Drosophila melanogaster: one gene and its partners. The protein of the gene in region 4 interacts with the protein of the main gene of each other region in a pairwise test. Each region holds a gene or a part of one and is shown on either strand. Other genes may lie near its edges. The genes, in order: CG30355, msi, CG12307 and CG32631.

The links.
Region 1: the proteins of CG32631 (region 4) and CG30355 interact in a two-hybrid assay, tested with the Drosophila melanogaster proteins (one large-scale study listed by BioGRID).
Region 2: the proteins of CG32631 (region 4) and msi interact in a two-hybrid assay, tested with the Drosophila melanogaster proteins (one large-scale study listed by BioGRID).
Region 3: the proteins of CG32631 (region 4) and CG12307 interact in a two-hybrid assay, tested with the Drosophila melanogaster proteins (one large-scale study listed by BioGRID).

The regions. Positions count from the first base shown.
Region 1 is NT_033778.4:8,678,627-8,681,775, forward strand, and holds CG30355 (uncharacterized protein), read right to left. Parts: upstream 1,328-3,149; 5' UTR 1,203-1,327; coding exon 868-1,202; intron 811-867; coding exon 585-810; 3' UTR 520-584; downstream 1-519. Other genes in the region: Acsl (Acyl-CoA synthetase long-chain), read left to right, coding at 1-242, 302-508, 1,386-1,860, 1,923-2,095, 2,159-2,422, 2,484-2,759, 2,825-2,979.
Region 2 is NT_033777.3:25,514,193-25,519,121, reverse strand, and holds the start of msi (musashi), read right to left. Parts: upstream 3,005-4,929; 5' UTR 2,773-3,004; intron 800-2,772; exon of another isoform or gene 650-799; intron 1-649.
Region 3 is NT_033779.5:11,650,761-11,653,653, forward strand, and holds CG12307 (uncharacterized protein), read right to left. Parts: upstream 1,251-2,893; 5' UTR 1,180-1,250; coding exon 631-1,179; 3' UTR 571-630; downstream 1-570. Other genes in the region: CG4983 (uncharacterized protein), read left to right, coding at 1,895-2,893.
Region 4 is NC_004354.4:13,554,700-13,558,387, reverse strand, and holds CG32631 (uncharacterized protein), read right to left. Parts: upstream 1,917-3,688; 5' UTR 1,840-1,916; coding exon 1,669-1,839; intron 1,563-1,668; coding exon 795-1,562; 3' UTR 522-794; downstream 1-521.

The DNA of each region.
Region 1 (3,149 bases), on a different chromosome or scaffold from region 4:
CGGTCGAGTCTTCAAGAAGTACAACCTCGGTGACTACAAGTGGAAGACGTTCACCGAGGCGGAGCGCACGGCGGCTAATTTCGGGCGCGGTCTGCGAGAACTTGGCCAGAAACCACGCGAGAACATTGTCATCTTTGCCGAAACGCGAGCCGAATGGATGATAGCTGCCCACGGATGCTTTAAGCAGGCTATGCCCATTGTCACTGTCTATGCTACGCTGGGCGATGATGGAGTTGCTCATTGTGAGTAAATTGGCTTACCATGTGTATGGTTTTTAAATAATATTTTGCTCTGTTGCCAGGCATCACCGAAACGGAAGTCACCACGGTTATCACCTCCCATGATCTGCTGCCCAAGTTTAAGACGCTGCTCGACAAATGCCCATTGGTGAAGACTATTATCTATATTGAGGATCAGCTGCAAAAGACAGAAACCACTGGCTTCAAGGAGGGCGTCAAGATCTTGCCGTTTAACCAAGTTGTCAAGACAGGACAGGACAGTAAATTTGGTACGTTTTGAAAGGGTCTTAAAAGATGATTTATTTATGTCAATTACACGATAAATTTGCTAAAATGCATCGTGTTTCACACCGAAAATGGTGTGGGCTCGACGTGTTCACCATCGGCGTTATCCTCAGGCGCCCGAGCCGTTGCCATCGATGTGGATGCAACCGGCTTCTGCGCATCATTATCATCCACAACATTGCTCATCCTTTCGAGGTTATCAATGTCATCTCTTTCGGTTGATCTGTTTTCACTATCAGAGCCTTGTGCTAATTCTGCTTCCGGCAAGTGGTTGCAATAGCGCCATCTAATCGAGACAGAATGTGTTGATGGGTCATCCAGTGTTTTAATCTACAACTCTCACCTCATGTCAGTACTGGAAAAACCGACGGGTTGCAACAGAATCGGCTTCGTTTGTTCTACATATTCGTTCACAAGACTGGAACCAGGTCCTATGATCAAATCTTCCTCCTTAGCCTCAAGGGTAACTCCTTCGGTTATCTTTTCCTCGTCTCTTTCTTGCTTAGAGGAATATGTGCGATACGCCCGAAAGATGAGAACGCCGCAGTATACGCCAAATAGTGTAAAAAATACGGAGCAGCTTCTCGGCTTTCCTGATGTTGAGCCTAGTAAAGCATTGCATTGTTGCACACAAGTCAAGGGCGTTAGGGTGATGAATTCCTCTAGGACTTCAGCCATTTCGAATGGTGTCTGAACTAAAAAATCACCCTACACAATTTGGAAAGAGTTCTTTCTGTTTACCGAAAGTATGCGCTTTTAATTCAGCACTGAAATGTTGACAGCATATGTATAGCGTGCTATGCGCAAGGAATTTGTTAAATATTAAACTAGTACTAATTGACTTTATTTTGTATCCCACAGAGCACGTTCCACCCAAGGGAGATGACATTGCCATTATCATGTACACTTCCGGATCCACTGGCACACCTAAGGGTGTCCTCCTCTCGCACAAGAACTGCATTGCGACAATGAAGGGATTTGTTGATATGGTGCCTATCTATCCGGATGATGTACTGATCGGATTCCTGCCCCTGGCTCACGTTTTTGAATTGGTTGCGGAAAGTGTGTGTCTCATGACTGGCGTTCCAATTGGCTACTCGACCCCCTTGACTCTGATCGACACTAGCAGCAAGATCAAACGCGGGTGCAAGGGCGATGCCACCGTCCTGAAGCCCACCTGCATGACTTCGGTGCCGCTGATATTGGATCGCATTTCCAAGGGTATTAACGACAAGGTTAACTCTGGCTCGGCGTTCAAGAAATCACTCTTCAAATTCCTTTACCAGTACAAAGTCAAGTGGGTGCAGAGGGGGTACAAGACGCCGCTGATTGATAAGTAAGAACGGTGTGCTCATAAATATCATGAGTTGCTAACTAAAACTATTATTTTTCTTGCAGACTGGTGTTCAAGAAGGTGGCAAAGCTAATGGGTGGCAAAGTGCGCATTATCATGTCTGGCGGAGCGCCTCTGTCAGCAGATACACATGAGCAGATCAAGACCTGCTTGTGCTTGGAGCTGATTCAGGGCTATGGCCTTACGGAAACTACGTCTGGAGCCACTGTCATGGACTGTAAGTGATCGCAGATCGACCTTTCTTTTGAAAACAAGTAAATAACTTTATACCCAATACAAGACCGTGATATGACCTATGGACGCACTGGAGGACCATTAACTGTCTGCGACATCCGTCTAGTCAACTGGGAAGAAGGCAACTACCGCGTCACAAATAAACCTTATCCCCAGGGTGAGGTTCTCATTGGTGGCGAGTGTGTCTCCCAGGGATACTACAAGTTGCCCGGCAAGACCAACGAGGATTTCTTTGAGGAGGATGGACAGAGATGGTTTAAAACCGGCGACATTGGCGAAATACAAGCTGATGGCGTACTTAAGATTATTGGTAAGTTATTTAGCACAGTGCTTTTTCTTTCATTTTTTTTATTATAATACGCTTTTTGCAGATCGTAAGAAGGATCTGGTTAAGCTGCAGGCCGGCGAGTATGTTTCCCTTGGCAAAGTTGAATCTGAGCTTAAGACTTGCGGAATCATCGAGAACATTTGCGTATACGGAGATCCGACAAAGCAGTACACAGTGGCGCTGGTCGTTCCCAACCAAAACCATTTGGAGGAGCTGGCACAGAAACATGGCCTGGGTGATAAGTCCTTTGAGGAGCTGTGCTCATCACCGATCATAGAGAAGGCTATTCTCAAGGAAATTGCTGAGCATGCGCGGAAATGTAAGCTACGATGCAGATTTGAGTATTTTTCAAAGTTTTTAATGGCAAATTGTTTAATCTTAAAGGTAAATTGCAAAAATATGAGGTTCCCGCCGCCATCACACTTTGTAAGGAGGTCTGGTCTCCGGACATGGGGCTGGTAACCGCCGCCTTCAAGCTGAAGCGCAAGGATATCCAGGACAGATATCAGCATGATATTAACCGCATGTACGCCTCATGAAAGTCAATGTACTAAGCCAGAGGTACCAGATGCAGCAACGACAACAACACGCAAACATTAAAGCAGCAGCAATGAAGCTAGTGTGTACTAATTGTTTTTAGTAGCACCCCACACAGCATAAGCATGCATACGAAATCCAAAACCAAACTAGCTTAAGTCCTAAAAGATCT
Region 2 (4,929 bases), on a different chromosome or scaffold from region 4:
ATATTTGTGTTTTCATTGATATTTGTATCTGAAGCGCTTTTCCATTTCCCATAACATTGATTTGCATTATTGTTTATTAATTTTAACAATTTTTTTTGGCTTTCTGGGTTTTCTTTGGCATTTCTTTGTTTTGGCTTTACGCTTTTACTTTCGCTGTTTGGCATTCGCTTTTGCCTTTTGCTTCTCGCCTTTCAATGCTGAATTCTGAATTCTCTTTTGCCATTGCCGGCTTTTTCGACACATACACACACGCCACTGCACACACACACACACTAACACTCAAGAACTCACACACGTGCGTGCCGCTCTCAAAATGGTGATAAAATATTGTTGTTTTTGCCGTTGCGGTTTGATAATATTTCACACACGGCTTTTAATTAAAAACATTTGAGTCTTGGATCGCTTGCATAGTTTTTGTATAGTTCGCTGCCGGTTTTCGTATTAATTTTTCATAAATTTAATCGATTTGCTTGAACAAAAACACATGCACACGCATACAGAAACATAAATTCATGGCATAAAAACAAATTTCTGCGACGTCATTGAATTCGCCGCAAAAGAATATGCGAATATGTGAAAGAGAAATAAAAAACCAAAGAAGCGTCCCTCGACAAAAGAAACAAAAATGTCTTCGAGTTGAGTCACTTACACGCACACACACCAGTACGTTATACACACACTCACACACACTCGCTGGTGCAAATAAACGACGCGTGACGAAAATTACACGGGAAATATTCGCAAAAATCCACGAAATTCGACAATCCTTCCGCTTCGGGCAAGGAATTTTTTTTAACTAACGGTGAAGGAGCGGCTGCGAACTGTTTAAGGCGAGCTCAGCGAATTTCGCCGTGCTGCGCTGAAGCTCTGCCGCTCTCCCTCTCCGCTCGCTCTCCACGCTCTCTCTCTGGATTTTGGGACTCTCTCTGCAGGACGTGAATACTGAGCAGAAAAAGGAGCAACAAAAAAAGCTTGGATGCAACATGCGGCTGAGTCAGTTAATGACGTACCAACCTTTTTTTTTCTCCCCCCTTTTGTGTGTCTTTTATCGCGCCTCTACCGTCATCAAGCTGGTACTCCCCCCATAATCATTTCCGATATGCAGTTCCATGCAGTTTCCCCAGACAATAGGCCTACAATATAGCCATATAGTCGCATATAGCCAGCACACTGAGTCGCCGAACGAGCGTCTTTATAGCCCGCTTTGTTCTCCCCCCAATTTAAAGTGAGCTCTGGAATAGTGGAACACCCTCAACGATAACTCCATTATCTATCCTTCAAACATGGAAATGTTGAAGGTTTTTTAAGCAACTTTGCAGATTTTCATAAAATACGTATTCTTATAAACGTCGAAAAATATGATAAAAAAAAAACAATTAAGAGCTTACTTTGTAGCATGTATGCAACTAAATTCAGTATTTCCAAGTAATTGTTATTTATAGGCTCTAACTTACTGTCATTAAAGTGTAAAGAACAGAAACTATTTTATTTATATTTCGAAAAAAAAACCATGACTTATTTTTGAGCTGTCGTTTTAAACAATTTGCACTTTACTTTATTGGGAAAATCCTAAAATATATTTGTGGGTTACAAAATTGGAGCACTGACTGTACTTGACTTTCTGTGTTTATCTTATATTGTTTGCTCAGCTCGTATTTCTTTTAAAGCTCAGCTCGCAGCTGACGCATTTTGTTGATTTTGAATGCTTAAAACTGAGAAACAAAGAGTAATTGTTTAATTCAGTTGAAGGGAAGGATTGCCAGCTATTTCGCTTTGATTTATGTGAAATTTACAAATCAAATTTATTTCGGTTGGAAAGTGTTCAGTTATCGTATCTGTTGTTTAAGCTTAATTAATTTAATTGTCACATATTCCATGGGATTTTGAACTGTACACGGGCTTATGCGTGTTTATTTCTTTTAAATAACGACAATTTGTTAAATTGTAGTAAAATATTTCATTATCGTTAGTTCCCTAGAGCCATTTCTGATTTTCTTCAAATCTTAGGTCTCCTTTCAGTTCTTATCGTACACAACTCGTTGAGAAATACACAAAACTGAAACGCAAAATTGTTGTTGTTGATAAAACTGAGCTAGTCACCGACAACAACCACAGTAAACATTAACCACAGCTTGTAGTTTGATAATGGATTTTTCTGTTTTAAAAATTGATGGTTTTCTCCAGTGCACAAATGTTCACCAATCTCGAATCGAAATTTGATATAAATTTAATCCATTTGAATTGAATTTTGTATCAATTTATTAGTAAAGCACTTATTTAATTACACATGTTTTATTTAGTCAAATTACTGGGCTTTTTATCTCGAGCTGAGAGTTCATTGTTTTATATTATTTATACACACATATCTTGAACTCGTCTTTTGTATGGATTATCGGTCTCTTAGTCATAGCGAATTAAATTGCTTTATGTTTTGGCATTCATTAGTTAAACATATCATTAGTTAATAAACCATGAAAGTTGATTTTAGATTTAATGATAAATTTTGTTTATAATCTTAATAGCCATGAAATACATATTTTATTTAGCCGCTCAAGTCATTGATTTGAATAAAGCTTGATGGGTTGTGCATGCATGTGTAGAGAGATTTCGAATCGTATTTTTAATTAATTTGCATGCACTGGCATCCGTTTTATGGATGCGGTTTGTTCATTTAGCTTAACAATTTAACACGTAATTTAATTCAGTCATGCAACATGTCAGAAACAGATTTTCTTATTATTGTATTTTCTAGGGGCGACAAATAGGAATTACTTTAAATGCGCGGCAAACAAAATTCAAGCTTTGTTTGTTTGTTTATTTTCCATTAGCCCACTTCGGTTTCGATTTCGATTTTCGGCCCAGTCCAGAATCAAGTTAAGACCTGGCTTTATCTGCATGCACAAACGGAAATCAACGACAAAACGACGACGACACGATGAAAACGAATCCACGAATCGCTCCGCTTCGAATCAACTGGCTGTTGTAACGGTCGCAGGCAAACTGAGTCCGAAAGATACAGATACAAGTACAAGCGGCCCCCGCGGAAAAGTTCTCTCACCGCCTCTCGCTTTTTATACCTCTTCCTCTCTTTGTCGATCTATCTCTCTCGGTTGTTTGTCGTTTGCGGCAAGCATAATAAAATAAAACAAGTGGTCGAGTTTTCCAACTTGCAGATACCCGGTTTTTAGATACAATAAGTTTTAGATACACTAAGCTTAACTTCCCAATGATAAATATAATTTAAAAAATTACTTTAGGAATTTTATTTAAAAAATAGATATAATATAAAATATATTTTAAAATAATACTCTGCAAACGCAATATACTCTGGGAATTTCTGAAGTACAGGGTAATCCAAAAGGAGAGCGGAATCGTTCTCTCTCTTGCGATGCGATGGCAACAACCACCCACAACATAAGCGGTTCACTCGCCCCCACCACACCACCAGCGAAGGAACAAAAACAAGCAAACTCTCTCTCCCATAAACTGAGAGCGCGTTGTTGTTTGCGGCGAAGTCGCTCAAAAAACGCCATTTGGGGAGACAGCAACAACTTTTGGGACTCATACTGTTGTCCCGTTCGCACTCGAGCGCTCTCTAACTTCCGGTCCCGTATGCTGCGACGTAGTGTTGTTGCTGTGGCTTTTTCAGTGGGGAAATGAAAATGAGCATCATTTGGTATTTACTTGGTATTTTTCGGTACTTTAAAATTGTTGCTTAAGTGCAATAAAAAATTTAATTTAATTAATTTGAAGGAAATGCTTGTAATATTGTAATTTTTATTTAACACACACTTTATTATTATTTTACCTTTACCATTTTTATATGATTGTTAAACAACGACTTAATCCCAGTTTATAGCTTATTTTATAGCGTTTTTGTCGCCTGTTGCACCCACCGCAATTACCAAATGTCGGCACGCCCCCGCAAAATTCAAAATTTACACAAATTTTTTGCAAAATCGCAGACGGGCGCTCCCAAATCAGAAGAAAAAAATCTAAAACAATAATTTCAGCGGCTTATTAGACGGCCTAAAAACATCAAAGGCCTACCCATTCCTAAGCAAGATTTCATGAAATTTGCTCCTTTTTTTATTTTCTTTATAATTCACAACAAAACGCGCAACAAGCGCAACGAGTTTTCTGCAATCGAGCAGCTGACGGCGAAAAAGAGTTTTTTTCTGTAATATATTTTCCCTTATTTTGTTTGGTCCATTTTTTCATGTTGGTTCCTTTTTTGTCGGGACACAAGAAACTTGTTTGCAGAGCTTCGGGCGATAAAGAAGGAGAAATATATAACAATAGCAACAGCAACAACAGTGACTGAGGCAGACAGGTCAAAGGAGCAGTTTTTGCCCCTGCCACGCCTCCATTTCGTCTACATCTTAACCGCCCACCGCCTGCCACGCCCCCGCCGAAGCAGCAATAAATTCTGCCAGAAAGCGTCTTCGATTAGTTCGGAAATGGCGAGAGAAGTGACTGAAACGAATAAAAAGAAAATGTTCTTAGAAAAAGTCGTCATACGTCTTCTGGACTAAGAGATACCTCTTAATTCATTATAAAAGATTTTAGAATAAGTTATTGGAATTTAGAATTAAAAACAATTATACAACAATTATAACAACTGAAATATTTTAATACCATACATTTTAGATTATTGACAGTTACCACACTTTTTAATAGATGTAGATTGCCCAAAGACCCCAAGATCCATTCAGGAATACAGGACAACAGGACAAAATAAGCCATTGATCTATATCAATGGCAATATCTAGTCTGCAACTGATGTTCCCAGAGTTTATTACCGCTCAAAGGTAGAAATTTATAGCAAACTGCGCATTCAGCAAATTTGGGTCATAAAAGTAATTAGTGAAATCTGTTCCAGTACAGATTGGTATTTGTGGGTGGATTTTAATTACCGGCCAGAAGTTC
Region 3 (2,893 bases), on a different chromosome or scaffold from region 4:
GCTATAAGCAATGTGAAAGCGGAAATGTCAGTTCACTAATATCTTCGATTAATTTAAAGCCTAGCAAATTCTGATAAATATATAAATCCACGATTTAATATTTTAATGGCATTAGACACTTCTCATAAAACTACCATCACAACAGTCGCTGAATGCCAGTGAAAAAATCGGAAGCCACTAGAAAACCAGTTACAACCCTTTTGCCACACATGCTCCCCCCTATCCACTGATACCACCGGCAGCTCTGCATCAATAGGCAAATGGGTGGTGGTGCTGGGAATCCACTTTCAGTGGCACATGTATGCTGGAACGATTCGACAAAATGCTGAAAACGGAATTTGCAAAATGTCACGTCTGACGTTCGCTGGCAACTAAGACGGAAATTTACCACTAAATGACGACCAACCCCCGAAACGAGGTGCCACTGATACGAGGGGCAACCTCAGAGCTCGATGAAGTGCAAAATGGAAGCCCAGACGAGTAACTGCCATTATGGGGAACTTCTTCAAGAGAGATGAATACTTTTACAGTAGTCATGCAGTACGTACATTGATTGAAACAAATTCGAATAAATCAATCCACATTTAATTTCATTAATTGTTTTGGACAATGTTACAGAGGATAAAGGACTCAATCGGTAAGACTCCAGCCAAAGGTATACGGCTTGTTGGCATCCATTGGCTGCATCATGGCATAGCCGTCCCAGCCGCAGGAATCACCACCCGCATTCGTTGGCAGGTTGTAGTAGCCGCAAGGACTGCCCATGGAGGTTTGCATTTGCTGGCGCTGTAAAATCTGCGCCTGCAACGGTTGCATCATCGCGAGATTGTTAGACGGCGAGTGCTGCTGCACCATGACTGGGCCAGGACAACTCACAGAGCTCTGTTGGCTTGGCTTGGACATGTATGAGGGCGCAGGATACCGGGTCTCCATTCGTTGATATATAGGTTGTTGGACAATGGACTTGGGGCAGTTGGTATGTGGCGCCTGTGGCTGTACCTGCTGCATCTGCATGCGCTGTTGCATTGCTGCCTGATGAGCACCTAAGGGTGGCTGTATTGGCTTTCCGTCCACCAATACCGGATAAACTTTCCCGCCAAAGACGAGCCCGCTGCCATAGGTGACCATGCCATTCTGTGGCACTTGCGGTGAACTGTCTTGCACAGTTGAGTTTTTCATTGTAATGGTGTCTCTTTTTTTTTATTAGAATTTTCTAATTCGAATTTCAGCAACCGCACTCCTAAAAGTTGATCAAAATACTGACGAGAGATTTAGATAGATCTGACAACAGAATCTCAGCACTCGCTTGAAAATCCCTCGGCCTGCTAATTAATGTGGCTTAACTCTGAGCAACCACCCTATATTTGCAAGAAAGAAAAACTCAGAGGATTTTCGACCTTATCATCACGTACACTCCGAATTGATAAACTTTGTCAGCTCTCTAGGAAGCGGGAGTCATTTTTAATTAAGCCGAGAGTAGAACTTGAAGAAGGCACCCGAGATTGTCAGAGATAAAAAGAAAAACAAGAAAGGGATAACCAAGATTACTTGAATGTAAAATAACAATGTGAATTCATGTGGCCACACCAATTATGTATACACAAATAACAGAGAAAGAACCTAAAACAGAGTGATTGCCTTAATGGAATTGTTCAAGACTAGTATAAACTGATTTTTGTGTCAGTTCGTTTGAGATGCCTTAATCGAAAAGCCAATCAAAAATTAGAAAAAAATAGTTTGGCTTTCCGACACAAACACAAGAAATTACCACATCCTGGCCCATACCTTCTAAAATTTAATCCGAATCAGGTAAGTTTTTGTGGGTTCTGGGTGTTTAAGAGGTTAAGGTCAAACACGTAGGTCCCACAGGAAATTGCCAACCTGTCTACCCAACATGTTTCCTGATGACTTCGACGTAGAACCCTTCAATCCATTCAATGTGGGACCACCCAATAGTGGAGCCCGATCTGAATTCAAAATACCTACATGCGTTACGTATCCGCCACCGGTATTCGTACCCAAGTCCGAATATGTACAACCATCAGAGGAGTTGGTTTCCCGGAAGAGCAACCAAAGTATAGGCAAGTCGACTATCGGCGAGGTGGACATTTCCAAGGCCATCAATGAAGAGATGGCCGTGGCCAAGAAGCAGGCCGAAGTTCTCAATGAAAAAGATCGCATTGATGCGGGTGGTGTTTCAACAACGAAGCTGTCCAAGGTATCTCAATCAAAGGAAGCGGTTTCAAAGGACTCTTTGCGCACCCTAATGCCAATAAGGTCAAACCGTCAGGTCAGTGGTGATGGTAGAGCAAATTCCAAATTATCCATATCACAATTCAGTGCGGCATCCAAGACGAGCTGCACAAATAAGCAAAGTGAGGGTGACGTGGCCTCAAAGTCTTCGAACATAACATTGAAACGATCTGCAATAGGCAACAGTATTTCCTCAAATACCACCCTCACTCCGAAGTCAATTTTGAAGTCGAAACATTTCTCAGAAGCAGCCAAAGCTTCCTCTACCACAATGAAATCAAAAGTTTCAAATAAGCCATCAGAAACTGGAACGCAGCGCTCCTTCAAATTAAATCCTGCTGACTCAGACTCGAAACAATCTCTAAAATCTGCAAAACCAAAGCATTCCGATTTTAAAATGCAAGATAAGAAGCTGACCAGTTCTCAAGAACAAGCCCCGTCTGTTGTTGCCACAAGTAATGCAAGGCAAGACTCTTGGAATGATCGTGTCCCTTCAAAGACCAACAAGTCAAATGTACTACCTGAATCCAAGGATGGCCCCAGCTATATTCATTCGGAAGCAGCTTTATCCTACAGACAGTCCTTGAACCAGCAGGCTGCCGAAATGGCGGATCGCCTAAACGCCGGAAATGAAAACTTT
Region 4 (3,688 bases):
AGGGATATGGCATTTTACAGCTTGATTTCCATTTGCCCATTGGCTCTTTGTTTGTTTGCTGGCCTCTTTCTCTGTGGGTTTTTCCATGACCAGCAGATTCAACTGGTGTCGGCTTGCTGCAACTAATAAACAAACAAAATTATAACTATTTATGCCATATATACAAACTTGAGCACTTAATAGTTATAAAATACAAAGACTTCTATATCCATTGTTAAAACTTTTATTCACGAATAATTATCAGTTGATACTGAAAAATGATAATAATAAGCGAACAATTATTGCTTAAATATTGCCTGAGTAAATATTTATTTATCTCTTTTCCAAGTGGCTTCAGTAATTAGGAAAGTTCCTTTTTTGGAAATTGGGCTAAGGGCTAAGAAACAACCTCCCCCCCGTTGCCACCTTGTTAACCCTTTAACAACATTTTCGGCAATAAAAACAAGTTTATTGCCGCACCCCCATGAATATTTGTCTTTGTAGCTAAACTTTTTGTCCCCAAGGAGCAATCGTCAGAAAATGTGTTTCATTGTAGTTTATTTCTTTCGCAGCTAGTTTGTAGTTGTTTAAGTTCAAAAAAAAAGTTGCGAATAAAAAAGGGATTAATGGAGTTTACGAAGAATTTCGGCGGCTTGGTTCAAATCGGGCACGCTTAACATATAAGCATAAATATGTTTAAATGCTTATTCAAATACATATGTTTAAGTGCATTTCATATAAAAAATGGCTAGTTAAGTATTAAGTATAGAAAAAAAAACTGTAGGTAAGTAAAGGGAAATCCCTTTGACCAATTTTTAGAACTGACCACTCAGCTCGTCGTCAAAATCGGAGGTGGGTGGCGTGTCCTTGACATCCGCCCGCACCGTGTACTCCTTCTCGTTGACACTGTAGTAGATGTTGAAGTACCTGCCCGACTGAATTCTCATGGCAAGGTAGCCACTCTGGCCGCGATCCTTGGCCGTCCGCTGGTAGATCACATGTCCGCTGCTCAGGATTACGCGCACCTCCTGCGAACCGTCCTCGTTCTTCCGCGCATTCTGCCGCATGATCTGCACCAGCTGCGTCCTCAGTGGATTGGAACTGGGCTTCAGGCCCGGCAGCTGAACGAGCGGCTCACAGCGGCAGTTGAGCTTCTGGGTGAGTGGGCATGTGGTCTGGGGATTGGGTGACGAGCCGAGCAGTTGGCCCGGCACCGCGGCCACCGGCGCCACTGCACCCAGTCCCAGGTTGCCCAGATTCAGGCCGCCCAGAGTGCCGAAGCCGCCGTTTAGCGAACCGAGTCCCAGGCCGTTGATCAAATTGGGCAGGCCACCCACCCAGGTTCCGATAAGTGGAAGATTCTGGCTAAACTGAGGCAGCCAGCCGGACTGCGGCTGCTGGCTCTGGGCATTCGAACTGGAGGCCACAGGAGTCACCACCGTAATCGGCTGCAATGGCTGCAGAGGCTGAAGTTGCTGCAGTGGCGGCAGTGGCTGCAGCGGGGGATTCACATTAAGGCCATCGAAGAAAACGGGATAGTTGCCGCTGGAACCAGCCAGGCTGCTCTGGCCACCATTGGCGGTCTGGGAATACGATTAAGAGGAAAGGTAAATGTTTAAAAATTGATTGATTTAACCTAAAATCTACACCTAAGTTTGCCACGACTAGTTTGCTTCAATAATCACTTACCAATTGGCGTTTGTCACGGCGTTCCAAGGACTCCATGGGATCGTCCTTTTCCATGGATTTTTCAGTGGAAGTGGGCATGGGTGTCCTTGTACTTGCTGTCGTTGTTGTGGCTAAAGCCAGTCCAATAGCAATGGCAGCCATAAAGATGGTAAAACTTAGAATGTTGGCCATGTTTGGTTGCTCAATTGTATTTTTTAAATATATATATTTTTTTGTATTTTGTAAGGATTGTTCTTTATCAGACTTCGCTTTCAGTCGCTTTGCTGTGGTGACCAGGCTCGCCACTTCTTATATATGATTTTTGTGGTCATATCGCGATATTAAATGATATTTTGGGCTGCAGTTAATTGAACCAGATTTGCCAAGAATCAAAATGGTTTTTAACAACCAACAAAAAAAAAACTGGCTTTGCCAGTACACAAAATGTGGGTCAGCATTTAATAACGGCCATATACTTATTTATATATTCCTGCAAAATTACAGCATCTTCATTTGAATGCTTATGGAACTTAAATTCAATAACCACACAATGGCCAACATACAATGCCACTGGTGGATCTGCAGGTGTCCATTAATTTTCCAAACCTGTGCAATTAATTTACCAAGCGAATTCAAACAAATTGCTTACCTTTACTCGGCCCATCTCCTCCATTGTTTGCCAATTTTACACAAATTAATTCCTCATACATTGCACACGCCTAAGCTAGAAATCTTTGCCCACAGATATACTTACTCAACAAATGGCACATCACTTGCATGGCCATCAAAAACTTCAAGAATTGGGCATTGCTCATGGATTTTAGAAGATATTGTATTTTGTATTTTTTGAAAATTCAAAAAAAAAAAGTCGCAATGAGGAAAATGTCATTAAATATGCCGGCACATAAAAATACACAGTAGCTATATAACTTTTTGACAAATTGCCTGGGGCTTGCCATGTCCAGCGGCCAAAATCAAATCAAATTAAATTTGTGCCAAAAAAACAGGAAGAAAAAGAAGAGGAAACGCAAAATGCGGCATGGCTGGCGGAAAATGTTTCGTTTGCATGGAAATTTCGTAGTAAGATTTTAAATTTTCCCGAAGGCAAGAGAGGGAAACTAAGAAAGAAGTGGAGTGAAATGAACAAGTTGCTTGACAGCCGCTTGCTGTTGCGGACTCATAAATCAAAAAGTTGCACATTAAAGACGCCTTTGGTTCAATTAAATAGAAATTGAATTAAATTACAAAGCTGCCTGCCCTTGAAAACGTGCAAAACATCGATGCAGAACCAGGATTATGAACGAAATAAGCGGCCAAAATGATTCAAAGTGTTAACCGGTTTGTCGAGCAACAAGCCCTAAAAATAATACTTTAAAACGTTGAAAACGCTTTTATGACACAAAGGTTACGAAGACAAAGAAGTCCAGGTAAAAAATTAAAAAGAAAAAAAAAAACATAGTTAAACATATTAAAATATCACTTCAAGCAGTGCAAGTAACATTTGAATTTTAATTATGTTAATGAAACACATGTTCTAAATAAAAACACAGACGGTAACTGAACCAATGAACTTCGATCACCCCTGGAACAAACAAACTCCGAACCAAATACCCTTTAGCACATTTACGAGCTTACACACAATGTGGCGATTATAAAGATTTTTACAATCCTGCATCTGAGCTCCCCCTCTCACCCCCCCTCCCCCATCATTCATTCAGTACATATGCTTATTTACTGATTTTCATCATTTTTCGGTTTTAAATGATTATATAGTGATGCATTTTAACCCTTGGCTGCTGAACGGGGTGATAAGAGTATTTAACATTCCTGGTAATTGAAAATTAGAAATACAAACAGTAGGCAACGCTGCGTATACGTAATGTGAGGAACTATAAATGTAAATTAATTATTGCTTGAAAATTATAAATTATTATGCATTATTCTAAATAATATTCCTGGTTAAAAAAAAAAAAAAAATAAAAATCATTGCCAGCTTAAACGTAGCAGTTTGAAACAAATTAAAGTCATACACTGCGTATGA